2 linked regions of the Arabidopsis thaliana genome follow. The protein of the gene in region 1 interacts with the protein of each later gene in a pairwise test. Each region holds a gene or a part of one and is shown in the gene's direction. Other genes may lie near its edges.

Evidence for each region.
Region 2: the proteins of TTG2 (region 1) and WRKY38 interact in a two-hybrid assay, tested with the Arabidopsis thaliana proteins (one large-scale study listed by BioGRID).

Annotation. Positions count from the first base shown.
Region 1 is NC_003071.7:15,641,014-15,651,245, forward strand, and holds TTG2 (WRKY family transcription factor family protein), read left to right. Parts: upstream 1-3,797; 5' UTR 3,798-4,071; intron 4,072-4,255; 5' UTR 4,256-4,263; coding exon 4,264-4,476; intron 4,477-4,477; exon of another isoform or gene 4,478-4,562; coding exon 4,563-4,688; intron 4,689-4,754; coding exon 4,755-5,395; intron 5,396-5,469; coding exon 5,470-5,779; 3' UTR 5,780-6,063; downstream 6,064-10,232. Other genes in the region: AT2G37240 (Thioredoxin superfamily protein), read right to left, coding at 44-103, 190-235, 313-445, 530-707; ADK (adenosine kinase), read left to right, coding at 978-1,274, 1,582-1,722, 1,803-2,075, 2,162-2,305; RPS5B (ribosomal protein 5B), read right to left, coding at 6,870-6,924, 7,019-7,222, 7,321-7,592, 7,937-8,029; ABCG33 (pleiotropic drug resistance 5), read left to right, coding at 9,387-9,673, 9,743-9,866, 9,946-10,031, 10,100-10,232. UniProt on the Arabidopsis thaliana protein: Transcription factor. Interacts specifically with the W box (5'-(T)TGAC[CT]-3'), a frequently occurring elicitor-responsive cis-acting element. Regulates trichome development, production of mucilage and tannin in seed coats, and maybe root hair development.
Region 2 is NC_003076.8:7,492,684-7,501,956, reverse strand, and holds WRKY38 (WRKY DNA-binding protein 38), read left to right. Parts: upstream 1-4,966; 5' UTR 4,967-5,249; coding exon 5,250-5,515; intron 5,516-5,658; coding exon 5,659-5,781; intron 5,782-5,868; coding exon 5,869-6,349; 3' UTR 6,350-6,502; downstream 6,503-9,273. Other genes in the region: AT5G22560 (transmembrane protein, putative (DUF247)), read left to right, coding at 8,860-9,273. UniProt on the Arabidopsis thaliana protein: Transcription factor. Interacts specifically with the W box (5'-(T)TGAC[CT]-3'), a frequently occurring elicitor-responsive cis-acting element.

The DNA of each region.
Region 1 (10,232 bases):
CTGCTTACGCTTACAAAAATTGCGTATTCAAAATGTTGTTTACCTGATCGATGCTTCCCGGTCCGATCAGAACAAGAGCAACACCAGATGCATCCATCACATCCTAAACAAAAATCTCAAAGGTATCACTCAATGACTTCAATTGTGTATAAATGGCCAATCTTTTTAAACCAAAGATCATTCTGTTACCTTCTTTTCTGCAAGATAAGCTGCTCGTTTCCGACAGAGCACACATCTGAAAACATAACAAGCAATCTTAGATAGTTACACATAGTCATAAACCAGAATCATCAAATATAATGAGAAAATTACCCAAAATGACGAGCAAATGCAACAACGGCCTTCCTATCTTTCCATAAATCAGAAATCGGAATCTCATTTCCTCTCAAATCCAAGACTTTCACTGTATCTAGCGAATCAGCTGTACCTTTCCCTATTCCAGCTCCTGTGGAGAATCAATATAATCTAGTAAGTAATCTAGAATCTCCGTATTCAATATAATATAGAAAGAGAAGACACTTAAGCTCACCGGAAGAAGCTCCGGTAATGGCCGACACGACCACGGCGCTACGCCGGAGAGAGACACTACGAAAGTGAGATTTGACCGAATAACCAGGAAGTACTGTCCCTAATCCATGAATCGTCTTCAGCTTCGGCTGCAGAGTAATGGACGTGATCGTCGACGACGACGAGAGAGCAATCGCCATTGTTGCTTCCAGAGAAAGCTGAAAATAATAATAATCCCAATTTAAAATCGAAATCGATTTTCTCATACCGTTGGTTAATCTCGTGGAGTTGGGTTATTACACGTGTCAGATGATGTAACCATGATCTCAGAGAAAAAGTCACATGCCACGTCAGTTAACTTTAGGGCAAAATGGGAAAAGAATCTAAAGAGCATATGTTCGTGCACGTTCTTGTTTAGGGTAAGCTCAAAGCTCAAGCCGCTTCTATCTCTCTACATTTCTCTTTCTGCAATGGCGAGATTAGTGCGTGTGGCTAGATCCTCCTCCCTCTTTGGCTTTGGTAACCGTTTCTACTCTACTTCAGCCGAAGCTAGCCACGCGTCGTCGCCTTCGCCGTTTCTTCACGGCGGCGGAGCTAGCAGGGTTGCTCCGAAAGATAGAAATGTTCAGTGGGTGTTTTTGGGATGTCCTGGTGTTGGAAAAGGAACTTACGCTAGTAGACTATCAACCCTTCTCGGCGTTCCTCACATCGCCACCGGCGATCTCGTCCGTGAAGAGCTTGCATCTTCTGGACCTCTCTCTCAAAAGGTGCGACCTTTTTTTTTCTTTCCCATTTTCTGTTACTGTGATTCTGATGGAGATTCTCTTCTTTGTTCGATTTTGGATCCATATAGTCTGAAATTGAATGTTTAGCTAATCGGACTTTCATTATTGGATCTGAAAATTTCCGTCTATCTCTCGATAGATCTAGTGAGCTAAGTCCATTTGAAAGTGTTTCTAACTACATTTGATCAGTATCATAACAGATCTATTCATATATATTAAAGTCAATGGCTTTGTTTTGTTTGTTATCTGTATGCATAATTGTTAAACAATCTCTTGTTACTTGATGCAGCTATCGGAGATTGTAAATCAGGGAAAATTGGTTTCTGATGAGATCATTGTAGACTTATTGTCCAAAAGACTTGAGGCTGGTGAAGCTAGAGGTGAATCAGGGTTTATCCTTGATGGCTTTCCTCGTACCATGAGACAAGCTGTAAGTATTATTCGTTTTAAGCAATTTTTGATAATCAATCTCCATTATCATTTCTAACAGTGGATTGTCTTTTGGTTCAGGAAATACTGGGAGATGTAACTGACATCGATTTGGTGGTGAATTTGAAGCTTCCTGAGGAAGTTTTGGTTGACAAATGCCTTGGAAGGAGAACATGTAGTCAATGTGGCAAGGGTTTTAATGTAGCTCACATCAACTTAAAGGGTGAGAATGGAAGACCTGGAATTAGTATGGATCCACTTCTCCCTCCACATCAATGTATGTCAAAGCTTGTCACTCGAGCTGATGATACTGAAGAGGTGGTGAAAGCAAGGCTTCGTATATACAATGAAACGGTAAGCCCCTCTATTGTCCTTTTCCATTGCTAGTTTATGAACGATCAGGTGTTAATTAGTGCCTTTTTGTATTTTTCTATATGCAGAGCCAGCCTCTTGAAGAATACTACCGTACCAAGGGAAAGCTTATGGAGTTTGACTTACCTGGAGGCATCCCAGAGTCATGGCCAAGGCTATTGGAAGCTTTAAGGCTTGACGATTACGAGGAGAAACAGTCTGTCGCAGCATAAGTTCACTATCAAATCCCGGTATTTAAAATTCTTTGCATGTGGAATACATATGCGTAATCAATTTTGTGTTGGAAATAAAAGTAAAAAGAAAACCTTAGATTGTTTTTCACCTCAATAGAAATAATCATACACACTTGCGCAAACTATTATTTTTCCACCAGCCGGGGATTTTGGCTCCATGAGAGAAATATGATGTATCATGATTGTTTGAGATTGCTAGTGACATTACAGGAATGTATCAATACTTCTACACCACTTGTTATGCATTGAGTTTAATCGTTATGCTCTTGTGATATGTTTTTTTTGGAAAATGTGATGAATGATGATATTGCGGCTGGCCGAGCTGGCTGGTTAAAGAACTCAACCAGACAGTAAAGTAAAACAGCCGCATAGATTAAACGGGAACTTATAACCAGCTCTTGACTGTCCTAGCATTGGCGGTGCGGGATAGAATCGTTCCTTACATCATGGAATTGATGCTCTCATTATCGGTCATTGTGTATTACTTGCTCTGTTATTTGTTGTGATCAAAACCTAGCTTCTGTTTTACGTTTGCCGTCTCTGAATTTTTTTTTGGTTTTTAACTCTCCCTACGTGAGTATGGATGGTAAATACAGATTCAATTTGAAATGCTGAACGGGACTTGGCTCATAGCAATCTAAATCACAGTGACAAACGTGTACTTCGATTGCCTTTGTGATGGTCAATCAAAGCTGTAATGTTGTTGGTTTTTGACGCTAACCGGAACTAAACTCCTTTCACTGAGAGGTCTCGATGAGAGAAATCATTGTCATGAACGAAATAATTTAAAACATGATTTAAGATTACAGAAAATGCCTAACGCAAAATTATTGACGAATCACAAGGCAAGGAAGAAGTAGAGAGGAGAGTTGATAAGAAAAGAGAAATCTTCATAGAAACTAAAACTGTGTACAAGTGTTTATATACATTGATTAAGCTTCAACAATCTTCTTAATTAACCACATTGATTAGCTTCAACAATCTTCTTAACTAACCTAACATATTAGTTAGACAATTAATAATGTCAACTCCAATATTTGTTGAAACTCCAATATTGTTATAAATTGCAAGCTAACAAAGTAACAATTGATAGGTTTAATAAATATTTTCGTCAAATGATCATTGGGTAGTGGTATTTAATAATATTTTATTAACTCATGTAGTGAAAAGTATTGGACAAGATGACTGAATTTTCTTCGTCTCTTATCTAACAGAGGTGTAACCGAAATAAACCGAATTCAATTTGGTTGGGTTGAGTTAAAATAAAATAAGTTGGTACAGTTCAGTTCACGTGTTTACTTCGAACAGAACAGGCTCGTGCGCGTGTCAACAACCAATAAGTTCTTTTGGTCGCTGTAGTCTTCAACTAAAACCAAACGACACCGTTCCTTGTGGCCGCGTTTTCCAACTAACTTTCAACTTCAACTAACGTTCAACGAGTGTCCATCTCCTCTATCTCTCTTTTTCCTTTTCATTGGCTTCTTCATCACTATAGAGACTAAAACTGACCTTGATCCATCCAACGTTCCCTATACTGACACGTGTATCCATCACAGTGTCGGCTAAAGCTCAAGGAACTCATACCAAGAAATACATCATCATCTCTCAATAATCACAAACCGGATCCGGATCAATTTGGATCCATCAGATTTTCTTCGTTCCCTAACTCCTAAAAAGGAGAGATTCTTCAAATCCTTATCACAACTTCAGTTTTTGCATTCACCGTCGTGAGTGTTCTACTTTTGGTAATGATTCACTAGTCAAGTTTCTTTCTTTATGCTATAACTTGCAACTAGATCTTGTACTAATGGAATTGATGTTTCTCCAATCATCTTCTTTGATTTTGCTCCATCTTTCTTTTCCTAATTTGGAAAAATGAGTCTTTACCTATAGAATCTGATAAATATGTCTCTTACATAATTGATTAAGGTCAAGTAATGGAGGTGAATGATGGTGAAAGAGTGGTAATAGCAAAACCAGTTGCCTCAAGACCTTCTTCAAGTTCTGGCTTCAGGACATTCACTGAGCTTCTTACTGATTCAGTTACCGTATCTCCGCAAACGACTTGCCACGAGATTGTAGACGCTGCTATAAGACCAAAGACTTTGAGATTCAATCAGCCAGTAGCAGCTTCGGTCTCATGTCCACGGGTATCGAGTTGTCTATTTAATTCTTCGCATTGTTATCTTCTTTCCGCATCCTCTAGTCTTGACTCAACTATTTCTGATAATGATAGGCTGAAGTAAAAGGTATTGGAAATGGAATGTCTTGTGATGATGATTCAGATAGCAGAAACTACGTCGTTTATAAACCGAAAGCAAAGCTTGTCTCCAAAGCAACCGTCTCTGCATTGGCTAATATGGTAAGTTGATTTTAAAGCTAACAAGGTCACTGACTTTCGAATGTTGTTTAATTCTGTTTTCTTTAGCTTCAGGGGAATCGTCAACAAACTTGGAGACAAAGCGAAGCAGTATCCTATGGGAAGAGTGTGAGCCAAGGTACACATCGAGCAGGTCCTAATCTAGTCCAGAAAGTTCCATCTTTTACGGAATCAGAGACATCTACTGGGGATAGATCTTCTGTGGATGGATACAACTGGAGGAAATACGGACAGAAGCAAGTTAAAGGAAGTGAGTGTCCAAGGAGTTATTACAAATGCACACACCCGAAATGTCCGGTGAAGAAGAAAGTAGAGAGATCAGTGGAAGGTCAAGTTTCAGAGATTGTGTATCAAGGTGAACATAATCACTCAAAGCCATCTTGTCCTCTTCCACGGCGTGCTTCATCATCAATCTCTTCAGGGTTTCAAAAACCACCAAAATCGATTGCTTCTGAAGGATCAATGGGACAAGACCCTAACAATAATCTCTATTCTCCTCTATGGAACAATCAAAGCAATGACTCTACTCAAAACAGAACAGAGAAGATGAGTGAAGGTTGTGTTATTACACCATTTGAGTTTGCTGTTCCAAGATCGACAAATTCAAATCCCGGAACTTCAGATTCCGGTTGCAAGAGTAGCCAATGTGATGAAGGAGAGCTTGATGATCCAAGCAGAAGCAAAAGAAGGTAAGATTGTTTCAAACTCTTAACTTCTGCAATTTTGTTTACATTGCTTGTATTGACTTTGTGTTTGATAACAGGAAGAACGAGAAGCAATCTAGTGAAGCAGGAGTATCGCAAGGCTCAGTGGAATCAGACAGTCTTGAAGATGGATTCAGGTGGAGAAAGTATGGACAAAAAGTGGTAGGAGGCAATGCGTATCCAAGAAGTTATTACAGATGCACAAGTGCTAATTGCAGAGCAAGGAAACATGTTGAACGAGCGAGTGATGATCCAAGAGCTTTCATTACAACCTACGAGGGTAAACATAATCATCATTTGCTCTTGAGCCCTCCATCTTCCTCTACTCTTCCCTTTAACTCCCCACAACTTTCTAAGCAAACAATTTGATTTGATGATCCATTCATGCTTTTTCTTTTTTCTTTTTCTTTTTTTGTTAAGAATGAGAAAAAAGAAGAAGCAAATGGTAAATACAATCACCATTTGCTCTTCACTCACAACTTCCTAAGCAAAAGCCATTTGATCAATTCATGCCTGTTTCTTCAATCTTTATACCACATTAGTTAATTAATCGTGTGAATTTATTTGTTTTTACATTAAGATTGTAAGGACAAGAAGATTGATGTTATTTTAACAAATCCAAATAAAAACGTGTGTTATATTTTTTAGGGGTAACTTTCTTCAATATGTTTAGTTTATCGAACTTGAGAAATTTGACTTCATGGGACCATTTCTTTTCTGTTCACGTTGCTAAACATAATGCAATTTCCATCGGTGTAACTCAATTACATTGGTGGTCTATCGAAATCCTCTAGATCTCAGTAACCACGTTGGTATTGTACTACCTTTCCAAGGAACATAAGATAAACTCATAAGCTTAATGAGTTATCTATCCGATACTTGTTTACATTTTCGCGGCGTGAGTCGAAGGGAGAAAGAATCACATGTCAAGATCACGCCTTGTATATCTTGTCCGTAGGATTGAAAGGCGGGTCATGTCTCGGAATTGAGAAGCCCTTAACCACCCGACTTGAGCCATGTGGGCATATACACATGATTTGCCATCCAGAAATGCTACTTACGGTATGGACACCATTGAGCCCAAATGCCTTTAAATGCAATGTACATGGTGCTTGGAAGACTGACAGGGAAATTAGAGGCATTGGTTGTGTCCTTAGAGACTCAAAATAGATTGTTTGAGTTATCTGAAATTTTTCATGGCTCCATCTACATCTTTTATCTTGGAGTAGCAGCAAATTGGAAACCATATAACTACCATGATTTATAGCACTTTAAACTGAAAAATATATAGATGAAATAATTTTAAATATGAAACCGTTTGATGATCAAGATCCCAAGTCGATTATAAGCGTCAAAATTTCATTAAAGATAGAGAGATCATCTGAAACATATCCAAAGCTAATGGAAACAACACAAAAACTCTTTGATATAATGCAAACTTAGAGGAAAGGGAGATCCCTTAACGATTGGCCTTAGCAACTCTCTCAATCTCATCTTTCTTCTTGATGGCATAGCTGCAAGACAAGAGAAGATGCTATTATTAGCTTAACTAACTAACAATAAAGTGAAGCCATCAAGAGACAGACTATGTAGATAGAGTGTTCTTACCTGTTGGAAGATCCCTTTGCAGCATTGATGAGTTCATCAGCAAGGCACTCAGCGATTGTCTTGATGTTTCTAAAGGCAGCTTCACGTGCACCAGTTGTAAGCAAGAAGATCGCTTGGTTCACACGTCTTAGAGGAGAGATATCAACAGCCTGCCTCCTAACCACACCAGCAGATCCAATCCTGGTAGCATCTTCACGTGGACCACTAATTCACATAAAGAACAAACCTTCTTAATTAGATTCAGTTCATAGTAACAAGCACGCAAGAATTTTACAGGTTTCAGTATAGCAATCTTAATATACCTGTTAACAATGGCATCAATGATAACTTGAATCGGGTTCAAGTCAGACAAGAGGTGGATAATCTCCATGGCATGCTTGACGATCCTGACAGCCATCAACTTCTTACCATTGTTTCTTCCGTGCATCATGAGAGAGTTAGTGAGCCTCTCAACAATTGGGCACTGCGCCTTTCTGAACCTCTTCACAGAGTATCGTCCAGCAGTATGGGGAACAAAAGTTGCGTGCTTCGATGGCTGAACACCAATGTAGTCCACAAGACTAATATCCGTAACCTACATAACACCAATATGCAGATCAAAAACAAATATTAGCACACCAATCATATAAAACACAAAAAATACATGACCTTTAGTGTCAAATTAGTGTTATAATCAAAACAAACACAACATGGGTTTCAGTGAAGACGGACAAAGATTATAATAGCTAAGATCTAGTAAGTGACTAAGTGAGGACTATAATTTGATATAATTCACACAATAAAGCTAATGTAACTACTCATATCAATATAAACCAATCATTTCAATGTCTATCATACAGCTAAATAAGAATTAGATCCTAGACAATTCTCAAGTGTCTAAAGAGATATTCTAAGAGAAGGGATTGGTGAGGAATATACCGAAACGTCATCAAAGCTCCAACGGTTGAAGAGCTTAACCTCATTGGTAAGCTGCTGTTGAATCTCAGCGTCGATTTCTGCGGAGGCGGCCATGACTGGAGGATCAATAGAAGATTAGTAAAAACCCGTAAATAGGAAATTAGAAAATGAAAAAACAGGAATCAGAGAATGGACCTGAAACTCTATAAGTGTCGAGAGAAGTAGGGATCTTTAGCCGCGGCTTGAAGAAGAAGAAGAGAAGGAAGCTCAAGCAATGAAGAATAAACCCTAAAAATGAGTGTTAGTAATGTTCTGTTTATAAAATGGGTTTTATTGGGCTTATGTTGGGCTTTTGTGTTTTGTTTTAGTTTAGTTTCTCTCCGAATTGGACACAGTTTGGCTATTGGGTTGTATTTATGTTGAGAGACTGACTAGATTAGGTTTTATCTTTTCTTGGCAATAGTTGAAGATACGGTTTTATCTTTTGTCTACATAAATCATCATACGTTGCATCGAACAAAGTTCTCAAAATGCTTACCAACTTGATTTACAAGTGACATTTTATTATTCTTAAGAACATGAAGAATACATTCTTCTTTGTAATGATGACCATACAGTCATCTTTTTTCTTTTCTGTCTCAACCATCCATCATACTTTATTAGTACTAATTTATATTACTATTATATGAAAAGAAAAACACGCATCAATTAAGCCCTAAATATCGGCTTTGACGTGCGTCGTAGTGACTTTAATTATTACAAGGAGCATATTAGCGACTAGCGACTATCCAAAGTATGAGCTTCAGAACTAACTTTTTATTACAAAATACATAATTATCGTTTATGATTTCAATGTGTAAACTGTGATATGAATCTTTTTAATATTTGATAAAATAAAAGAAAAGTCGCAGAGTGGGAAGGATATAATAATTTTTTTCATTTTTATTTCTTACTGCACGTGGGAATTAAGAAACTACACAAGTTTTCCAACTTATTAAGCTATTAGTCAACTTCTTAAAAATATAAGTCTTACTTTATTGGTTGAATTGAACGACATGTGTATTGCTACTTTAACTTATTCGAGTTGTTAATTTTTTTTTTTTATCATCATCATTCGAGTTGTTTAATTGTTTAATCACAAAAAATTAAAATGGAAAATTACCTAAAAAAACATTATATTATGTTGTTGAGAATATTGATAGTTAGTATGCAACAATTCTTTTAGTAAGATCATGATGTTATTACCTTTACCTTCTACCACCTAACTGTTTGAAAACACATTTTACTCAATTCATATATTATATTTTACACATATACATAAGAAGGAGACAAATGCATATTTCTTAATTGATTTCTGAGCATTTCAACAGAGAGACAAAGAACATAGGGACCCGTTGAGGCATGGCTCCTTTGGGTGTAGAAGAAGAGCAATAGTTACTGTGAGTGGAGCTTGCAGAGATTGGAAAAAAACATGGGATCCAGTTTTAGGAGCAGTTCTTCAAGAAACGAGCATGAGGATGGTGGTGATGAAGCAGAACATGCTCTGCAATGGGCTGAGATCCAGAGATTGCCAACTTTTAAACGGCTGAGATCGTCTCTGGTCGACAAATATGGTGAAGGTACGGAGAAAGGGAAAAAGGTTGTTGATGTCACCAAGCTTGGAGCCATGGAACGTCATTTGATGATTGAGAAGCTGATCAAACACATTGAGAATGATAATCTCAAACTTCTCAAGAAAATCAGAAGAAGAATGGAGAGGTGAGGTTGATAGTGAATACTGAATATGCTTCTTGAAAGTATGAGACTTGAACTTGAAAAAATCTGCAGGGTTGGTGTGGAGTTTCCAAGCATAGAGGTGAGGTATGAGCACTTAGGTGTTGAAGCAGCGTGTGAGGTCGTTGAAGGGAAGGCACTTCCAACTTTATGGAACTCTTTGAAGCACGTTTTCTTAGTGAGTATACTCAAGAATGTAATGCAGATGAAAGCTTGATTGTAGCTGGTGTTGAATTCTACTTTTTTTTTTTCTTCAGGACTTGTTAAAGCTGAGTGGTGTAAGAACAAACGAAGCGAATATAAAAATACTTACCGATGTTAGCGGTATCATTAGCCCGGGAAGGTTAGTTGCAAGAGGTACTTTCTTTTGATCCAAGCTTTTGAGCTAATGTATGTTATTGTTTTTACAAGGTTAACACTGTTGCTTGGTCCTCCTGGATGTGGCAAAACTACTCTGCTTAAGGCTTTGTCTGGAAATTTGGAAAACAATCTTAAGGTTTTAGATATTTTCTCTTTTGGATGCTTTTTGCTGCAGATGTGTGAA
Region 2 (9,273 bases), on another chromosome or scaffold:
GACAAAAGACCATTACGGACTAACTCTACTTAAAGTTAAAAGCGGTTCGTGGTTGGTCCGCGACGGTTTTTTATTTTATTTTTTTTGTCCGTATTTCTACGGACTATAATTTATGAATGTTAAAACAAAAACTGTATAATCCACACACGGATTTGTCCGCCTGAACTGGTGCAACTATTCACACTCTATATATTTATAGGATTGAAATATCTGAAGAGCTCAACACATTTATATCAAACATATATTTTGTTCATTTACTAAACACTAGTAATGCTGTTCTAGCCTTACCTATTAAATCGTATCCCAAAACAGAAGTGATGTTTTTCGAAACATTATTGCGTTTTTAAAAGATAAGTGAAATATTGTGTCCAATTGGTAACACAACAAAGTTGTAAACTGTAATGATAAATTGTTACGAAATAGTATAAAACGGTAAAAAACCTCGTACCTCTAGAATGATAATTGTAATTGTTAATTATCAAAACGGTATACCTCGTACCACAACAGTACGTAGTTATCGTTCAAAACCATTTATTTTTTGTTATAAGTAAGGAAAAAAATATCAACGTGGTTTAGTCTCACATTCGATGTGATTGATATACAAATTTTTTTTCTTTTTCCGAGTTCTCTTTGATTTTTAAAAACGTTGTATAGCTGATTTTCCCTACCGAATAATCTTGAGGTAAGCTCTTACCATTAGAAAATTAGTACTGTTAATCTCTCTTATCGATGGTGACAAAAAAATTAGCACGTGATAGGTTGGTTTCATACTTCCATCGTTGTCTATCACCATGTATTGTTATCTTTAATTTATTTGGAAACATATTAAAGATTATGGCGACATAAATATTGCTCACGGTGATGGTATTATTTATTTTCTTATAGTATGTATGTGAAGAAGAGAAATGATTCATTCAGGTACTCTCAAGTCCCATTTGAGTTGCCCTACAATGTGTACCCACAAGAACTGAAAATAACCTCACATTTGTTTGGTTTGTTGTAATTTTCTCCATATTCATGCATGTACTCGATCAAATCGATATGATTATATCAATCTTTAACGGGTGGGCGGATTTCGTCTTATAAAATTAACTGGCCTATAATAAAATGAGGTAGTTATACTTATATCAAAATCAAAATGATGGAAAATTTTGGATTAATTAACATTTTCCTCGACCAAAAACGTGAATAAATTCAATAGAATATATTGATCCAAAGGAAACTACAGGAGTAACTAATCCTATTTTAAGGTTTTTACAATTCAAATCAATTTTCCCTGATTTGACAGAACCAAACTGAAATCATACCAAAGTGGATTCAGTTGACCTGGTAGTTAATTTCTTTCATTTCAAGTTAGATTCATTTTAGGGAAACATTTTTGTCTTGCATCATGATGTCTTCTACCATTAGCAATGGTTGCCTTGATGATTTGGTGCAAGAAGGTGGTGTGCTTCCATATTTTTTTAATCCTTTTTTGGCATGTGATGCTTAATTGTGTAACAACTTTTCATTGTAAAATGAAGATTTACATTCTTATAAAAAAAAAGAGTTAGATTTGAATATGCTAATCACTCAACCCTAATTAATCAAAGGTATAAAAATCTTTTCTTTTATGTGAACAAGATCTGAGAGACATAAAAAATCCAATGGAAAGAAAAACATGGTGCATGGATATGTGTCAGCTCAACATCTTTTGTGAACCCCTTTTACAAAAAAGTTTGATTCAGCCATACTATTTATTTTCTATGATCCTTCTTGCACTCCTTCATTCTTCTCCAGTCATATGAAACTTGGACCCATCAATTTTATTTTCTTCATTATTTCCCTTTTAAAGATATGATTAAAGCAGCATGCATGTGGCCATGCTCTTAAATAATTCCCACTGAAAATGACATTATATCGACCCGATGCCTAACATTATTGGTACTATTTTTTCGAGATTTCAAATGGAATGTGGTTAAAAGAAATTGATTATGTGGTAAATTTCATAGTTTTCCACCATTTTTATCTGTATGTATAAAACTTATTTTCAATGTGTTAACCATGTGTGGTAACTTATTGTTTATTTTTTGTCAAAGTATTAACATATTTGCCATGACTTTTTTGTTGATTAGAGGATAAACTATCAAGAGGGTAATAAAAACTGGTATGTGCGTTGCAAACTATAGAGCCAAGTTGTGAGATAGGTCTTCTGGATGAGATCAGAGTGTTTCGATGCCTATGTCTTCGTCTTCAAGAGTTGATCGGGTGGCCGTTCCGACCTACTGTACTGTCATGATACGAGGTATATTTTTGTTATATATAAAAACAACGATAACCTTTAGAAGTCATTAAAAGAACAATGACTAATAGGTCTTTATTTTGTTGGGCTTACTTAATTTTGAGTTGTGACAACTATACTTTCCAGCCCATTTGTTTTTTCATTAGAAAAATGTTTTGCTACTTTGCATTTTACAAACCCACAATGAAAAAGAAGGTAGCTGGATCATGTGTTTTTTTTTCTACAAGTCTGTTGAAAGGTGGTTCAAGGAAACCGTAGTCCACTAACTATCCTTAGTTAGTTTTGAGTTCACTCAACCTGAGTCTTCATTTGCAAAAATTGACTATCAATAACCGACTCCGATTATAACAAAGTTCAAGCATTTCAAATGGCCTTATTGAAAGGGCGAAACAATTTCCTGTCATCCTGGTCTAATAAAATCCTTAATTATATAACCAAAAAGCGATATATTGTCTCAATGTTGTTGCTAATTATTTTCTTTCTAGGATGTAGCCTGTCCTTTTGTATAGATAAATGTGGTTAAGAAATTTAAGTTGGGGAGGTCATCTATTAGTTAAGTAGGAAAAATGTAAGATCACGAGCAAGCACGATGGATCTTTTTTTTCCTTATTTGGAAAAATCAGGACGTCAAAAGTATATATTTGACTAAAGCTGGAAGCACGAATCCAAAGATAAATATCTTGAATTGAAAAGTCCTGAAGAAGTTAATATAAAGATAAGTTTTAAAGTTCTGTAGGATTATTGAAAATGGGGAATTTTGTTGAAGTCGTCGTCAGATTAAAGAAGACATGGAAGCTACGTTCCAACTACTTGGTTTAATTAGCTAATAAATAAAATTATTAAAAAAATGTATCACCATTATTGTCATGTAAGTCATGTTCACATTCACTTTCCTTTCGCACCATAAAATAATGTGACTTGACCCATAGCTTTGCTTGACTTGTACATATGTGACCCCTTACTCAATATAGTACTAATACCTATACAATATTTAACAATTTGCTAATAACAAGAACAAAATACATGTGGGCAACGTTTCACAGATCAGATCAAAGTCACGTGCGAAAGTTTATATATATATATATATATATATATATATATATATATATCTCTTATGTGTTGATATCTATCAATTTACATTAACCACCCGCAGAAGAAGATAGGGTTGTTAAATTGATGGGTAGATAGAACTTAACATTCTTTACAAACTTTGTAATTTGTTGTATAGTTTCATGAATGGTGTTAATTCATGGCCTGAAAATACCATCGATGTATACAATCTGATAAGGATAAATTGTTTTGGATTGACCATCTATTAGTTTTAAAATATGATTGTATAACTTGGATTGGTTAGCTTTCAGATTATACTATATATTCAAAACAAGCTTTTGTACGTATATTATATCATTTTATCCGCTTAAAATGTAATTACTAATTTTTCTTTCATATAAGATTCAAGTTTACCTAAAGAAAAAGGATTCAAGATTACCAGTTATCTTTTGCAAAGCTTATTAATTATAAATTCTTAAAATTTTAGATTAAATTAAAATATGGACCGAGTAGCCAACGAATGAATCTCACATCACGGCATAGTTGACTAGTTGTTGTTAGTATATAATATAATCAACATTGCTGCTTCGTTCTGACGTCAATCTGCTGAATCAGCCCCTTCAACAAAAACTACGTCATGGGGCTGACGTCGAGTGTCCGACGAAACTAATGCCGTTTTCATTGGTGCATTAGTCGCCACTCGCCAGCTACATCGCAATTATTTCTCTCTTTAAGCGTTGAAAAATTGTCTAGATCTTACTTGTTAATGTTATTCTATTACCTAATAATTATCTTTTGTCTGGTCTAAATACTTACATTTTTATTTAAAATCTGAACCAAAACTCACCAAAAAATTAGATAATTTTACCATTAAAGATATCCACGACTAGTGGAGTATTTTCATTACAAAAAAATGAATTGATCATATCATATGTGTTCGAAGCTTATTATATTGAGCAAAAAAACATTATTTGTACACGTTTCATCTTTGATGAGGTAAACATTGCGATGGACGTGTAAAATATGTTATACTTTTTTTTTTTGTGAACATCCAATCTATTACATACATTTGTTTTTTTTTGTCATATGAACGTAAAATATATTATTTTCAAAACTCTATATTATTAGTTACCGTATAAATTATAATTAAAACCACCTATCAAAATATTAAATAAAAAATATTTAACGATATACAATCAACAAAATTAAGCAAACAAATTTATTCTTAAATTTCATCTGCTATATATTTTCAAAAAAAAAATAAAAAAAATTGCGACACATATTGAAATGGAAAGATTACAAAAGAAAATTTTAAAATCATTGCTAATTTGGGGTTTATCATAGCTCATATCTCTCTCTAATATATCTGACTTTGTAGAACACAGTTTTCTATTAGATTCCTCCTATCTTGAAACCTTTTAGTGTTCTGAAAGGAGTAGTTTTTAATTTTTAATCTTTAATTATTAAGCGAACCGCGTAGATTAGTGTAATAAGAGAAACAGATAAATTCTGAAACAATTAAAAACAGATTGTATATAATTAAGTGAGCCGCGTACTGGGAAAGGTATATAAAATAAACTCTGTTTCCTATACATCATGACAGATCATATGCTAATGTCAACACCTAATCTATCTTTTTGTCTCTCTTTATTTAGATTCACGCATATAAGTCTAGCAGAGCACATGTCCTATATCGAAATTATAATTTATCATTGGCTTCTTAAAATATAACCTAGTGTATGTAAATTATATTTGGTAAACCCAAATTGGCAAAGTCATTTGGGAACGTGTATGTACGACTAGTCCTATAAATTCTGATCTCCCTATCCGTTCAAAAGTTTATAGCACAGAGAAGAGACTTGAGAAAAAGAAAACAAACAAGAAACACATACACACACACACAAGTTCACTATACTCTATGGAAATGAACTCCCCACACGAAAAGGCGGTGCAAGCTATCCGTTATGGCCATAGCTGCGCCATGCGGTTGAAGAGGCGGCTCAACCATCCAATGGCTGATGGTGGACCGCTTTCAAGTTATGATCTTGCTAAATCGATCGTTGAAAGTTTTTCCAATGCCATTTCAATCTTATCTGCTAAACCAGAAACCGAAGATGATCAGTTTTCTGATTTATCTTCTAGGGATTCTTCTCCTCCTCCACAGGGGAGCCCCTCCAAGAAAAGGTATACACTTATGAGTTTGTTTTCTTTTTTGAGTTTGTTTTTGTTTTTCCAAATGAAACCACAATTCTTAATATAAGTATTTTTTTTCTTAGGAGTATATGTTGATTTTAATGCTAATATTTTGATAATACTCATGTTTGCAGAAAGATTGATAGTACAAATTCAAGTGAGAATTGGAGGGACGATTCACCGGATCCGATTTACTACGACGGGTATCTTTGGAGGAAATATGGTCAAAAGAGTATAAAAAAATCTAATCACCAAAGGTAAGAAATAGTATAGCTAATCATATTTCATCATAATTATTTCTATCCCGATCACTCATACTAATTGGTGTATGATGATGGTAACAGGAGTTACTATAGATGTTCTTACAACAAAGATCATAACTGCGAAGCAAGAAAGCATGAACAAAAGATCAAAGACAATCCTCCGGTTTACCGAACCACTTACTTTGGCCACCACACTTGCAAAACCGAACATAATCTAGATGCCATTTTTATTGCCGGACAAGATCCCCTAGATGACTTTAAAAGTACCCAAATGATCCGATTCGGAAAAGATCAGGATCAGGAGAAGGAAAGCCGCTCGAACGGTTTCTCCTTATCGGTTAAGCATGAAGAAGATATCATCAAAGAGCAAGCTATAGATCAGTACCGTGAGATAACCAGTAATGACCAAGATTGTCAAGATGTTATAGAAGAATATCTATCATCACCATCAGGCTCTTATCCTCCTTCATCGTCATCTGGCAGTGAAAGTGCTGACTTTAATTCTGATTTGTTATTTGACAACCCAGACTCGTGGGATCGTTATGATCAGTTTTACTTTTGATTGCACTAGATTTTTCAGCTAAAACTATTTAATAATGTTTTCCTTTTTATGAGATTGTATATATTTGAGAATTGTGACTATTTAAGTATTTATGTTATTGATTAGATAATCCGAGAACAATATTTATATTCACCCCTAAGAGTTTATTTCCGGCCAATAAAACTCTATCATCTAATAAATAAATTAAAAATTCATTTGATTATAAAATATAAATTTCAACCACTTTTTGTGTAAACCTAAATCGATCTATAATCTCGTTTAATTATAAAATCTAAACTCTCATTCATCTTTAAAAGCTCAAAACCGACATTTTAACCTTGTTTAATTGTAAAATATAAATTCTAACCATTCTTTCTAATCCCAAACTCACATTTAACCTCGTTTAATTGTAAAATCTAAATATGTTTATAAACCAAACCCAACATTTAATTTGACCTCGTTTATTTACAAACTAAACCATAATTCTCCTTTACAAACTCATACCAACATTTAACCTCGTTTAGTTTTAACGTCTATAATCCTAACCATTTTTTCTAAACCCAAATTGATATATTTAACCTCGTTTAAAAATGTAAAATGTAAACCTTTTTATAAACTCATACCAACAATTAACCTCATCTAGTTGAAAAAAATCTAAACTCGTTTATAAACTCAAACCTATATTTTATCTTGTTTAATTATTAAATTTTAATCTTAACTATTTTCTTATAAACTCAAACTAATATATAACTGTTTTTGGTGGCAAATTAATTTTTATAATTTAATATTTTTAATTAAGTGGTATATTATGATTAGCAAAATAAAATAGGGTGAATAACAAAGTTTAAATTCCTGAGGGTGAACCGGATTTGAACCGAAGTATTTTTCATATTTGGAGCAGAAGTAGAATATGTAAAACCGGATTTGTTTGAGAAAATGTAATATTTACAAGGGTTTGATTTTTCTTGCTATTGGCCGAAGCACACACATCTTCTTGCGTTCGGTCTATTCAAAATGATTAATAGAAAATGAAGCTTGACACATTGAAAGGATAAAGAAACTAGAAAACATTATATGCTAATTATGAAACGATTTGCTTGATACCAAAAAAGAAACGATTTGCTTAAAAACATAGAATCTTACATAAATGAATAGATTACATACACCATTACGTCAACTCGTGATGTTCTGCCTCGAAGGTCATGTTTAATTTTGATGAGTGGAACTATTTGTGGAAGTCTATTTTGTATATTTTTAACCTTTTCACACATGCATTAAACGTGTATAAAATCATAATATTTTTATACGTAGATTCTATTTATGAAAGTAATTACAAGGACTGTTTAAGCAAGCCTGAAGCCTCTATAGCTTATAGATATTTTTACTGATAAACAATATAAGTTTAACTCTTTAGGTGAATAAGCTAAGCTAATGATGACAAAACTGAAATTACATTATGTTTCAAGTCTGTTTTTGGATTATATAAAACGACATTATTTACAAATGATATTCTACGAGCATGAGACCACCTATTGATGACGTCAATATTCTTTATGTAACCTAAGAACATTTCCATTGCATTATTTTTATAAGTGTCTTAACATAATTTTTAAAAAGAAATATCAATATTGAAAAGTAATTTTCTAGGATAAGGTGAGACAGTATGTCAAAAATGTATTCTTTAAAACACTTTTGTTGGGTTTATTGTTATTTTTAAGACACCCTTAATATAATACTAGCATTTTATAATATAAAATTACGTTAATACACTCGTAATTATTTGCTCTATATAATTTCTATTACCACATGTCTTTCACAGCTTACTATAAGAAAAGTAAAATTGGTATTATTTACAAAATACTAGTAGTGGTCTGGACGAACAAACTAGGCAACTAGCTAGATCAAGTTGAAAGTATATAATAACAACCATCCGTTTTTTATAATGCCACATGAAAGTAAAAGTCAACGACTGCTTTTCTTTCTATCTAATCTTTGATTAGCTGATTCAGAGATGGAGCGCATGTCGTAATTCTTGTTTGTCGGATTCTTATTCCTTATCATAGACCATTATTTTACTATGCATATGTATGAAATATAGATTATGATTAGTAACATTACATTTATAATGAAAACTTACATAATGAAATCTGCAGCTTTGTTATCCTCAATTCAGCTTATACAATGGATTGCATGGGAAGAGACATGACTCTGAAAATTCGTTTTCTTAAATTTTTCATATATAGGTGAAGGGTAGATTTTCGAATATATAACTGAGCCAATATATAAGAGGTGCATAATTATTGTTATTTTGGGTCAAATTGATATAATTATCTAATTTTCTTGACATAATTTTTAGATCATAAGGTGACTTTTTGATGATAATAAATGTTAGACCTTGTTAATTCATTATTTCGGTCTTTAATTCATTTGATGGTCTTACAATAATCATTTTGTTTTCGTTTTAATGTTCACTAAACCGTTTGATATTTTCTTGTCAAGAGAAAAAAGATCAAGAAAAATACAAGTACTAGATGAGAGCCATGTATCTTCCCAAGCAACACACTGGAGGAAGCACAACAATTTCAGGGGAAGATGATTGCATCGTACAAATCCGAAGGGTAGATGAAGATTCCAAAATACTTCTGAGAAATTCAGCAGCTCACCAATCTTGTTGCATCTTTAGAATCCCTCACACTCTCGTTCAATCCAATGATACAGCGTACAAACCGAAGATTGTCTCGATCGGTCCTTATCACCATGATCACGGTAAAGCTGATAAAGTCGATAAAGCCGATAAAGCGGATAAAGCACGTTTTAAGATGATCCAGCAGCACAAACAACGATATCTTGATATCTTCTTGTCCAAGACTACGAAAAAGGGCGTGGGCATAGAAGACTTGCAAAACGTGGTCTGGAAAAAGGAACATCTCATACGAGATTCCTAC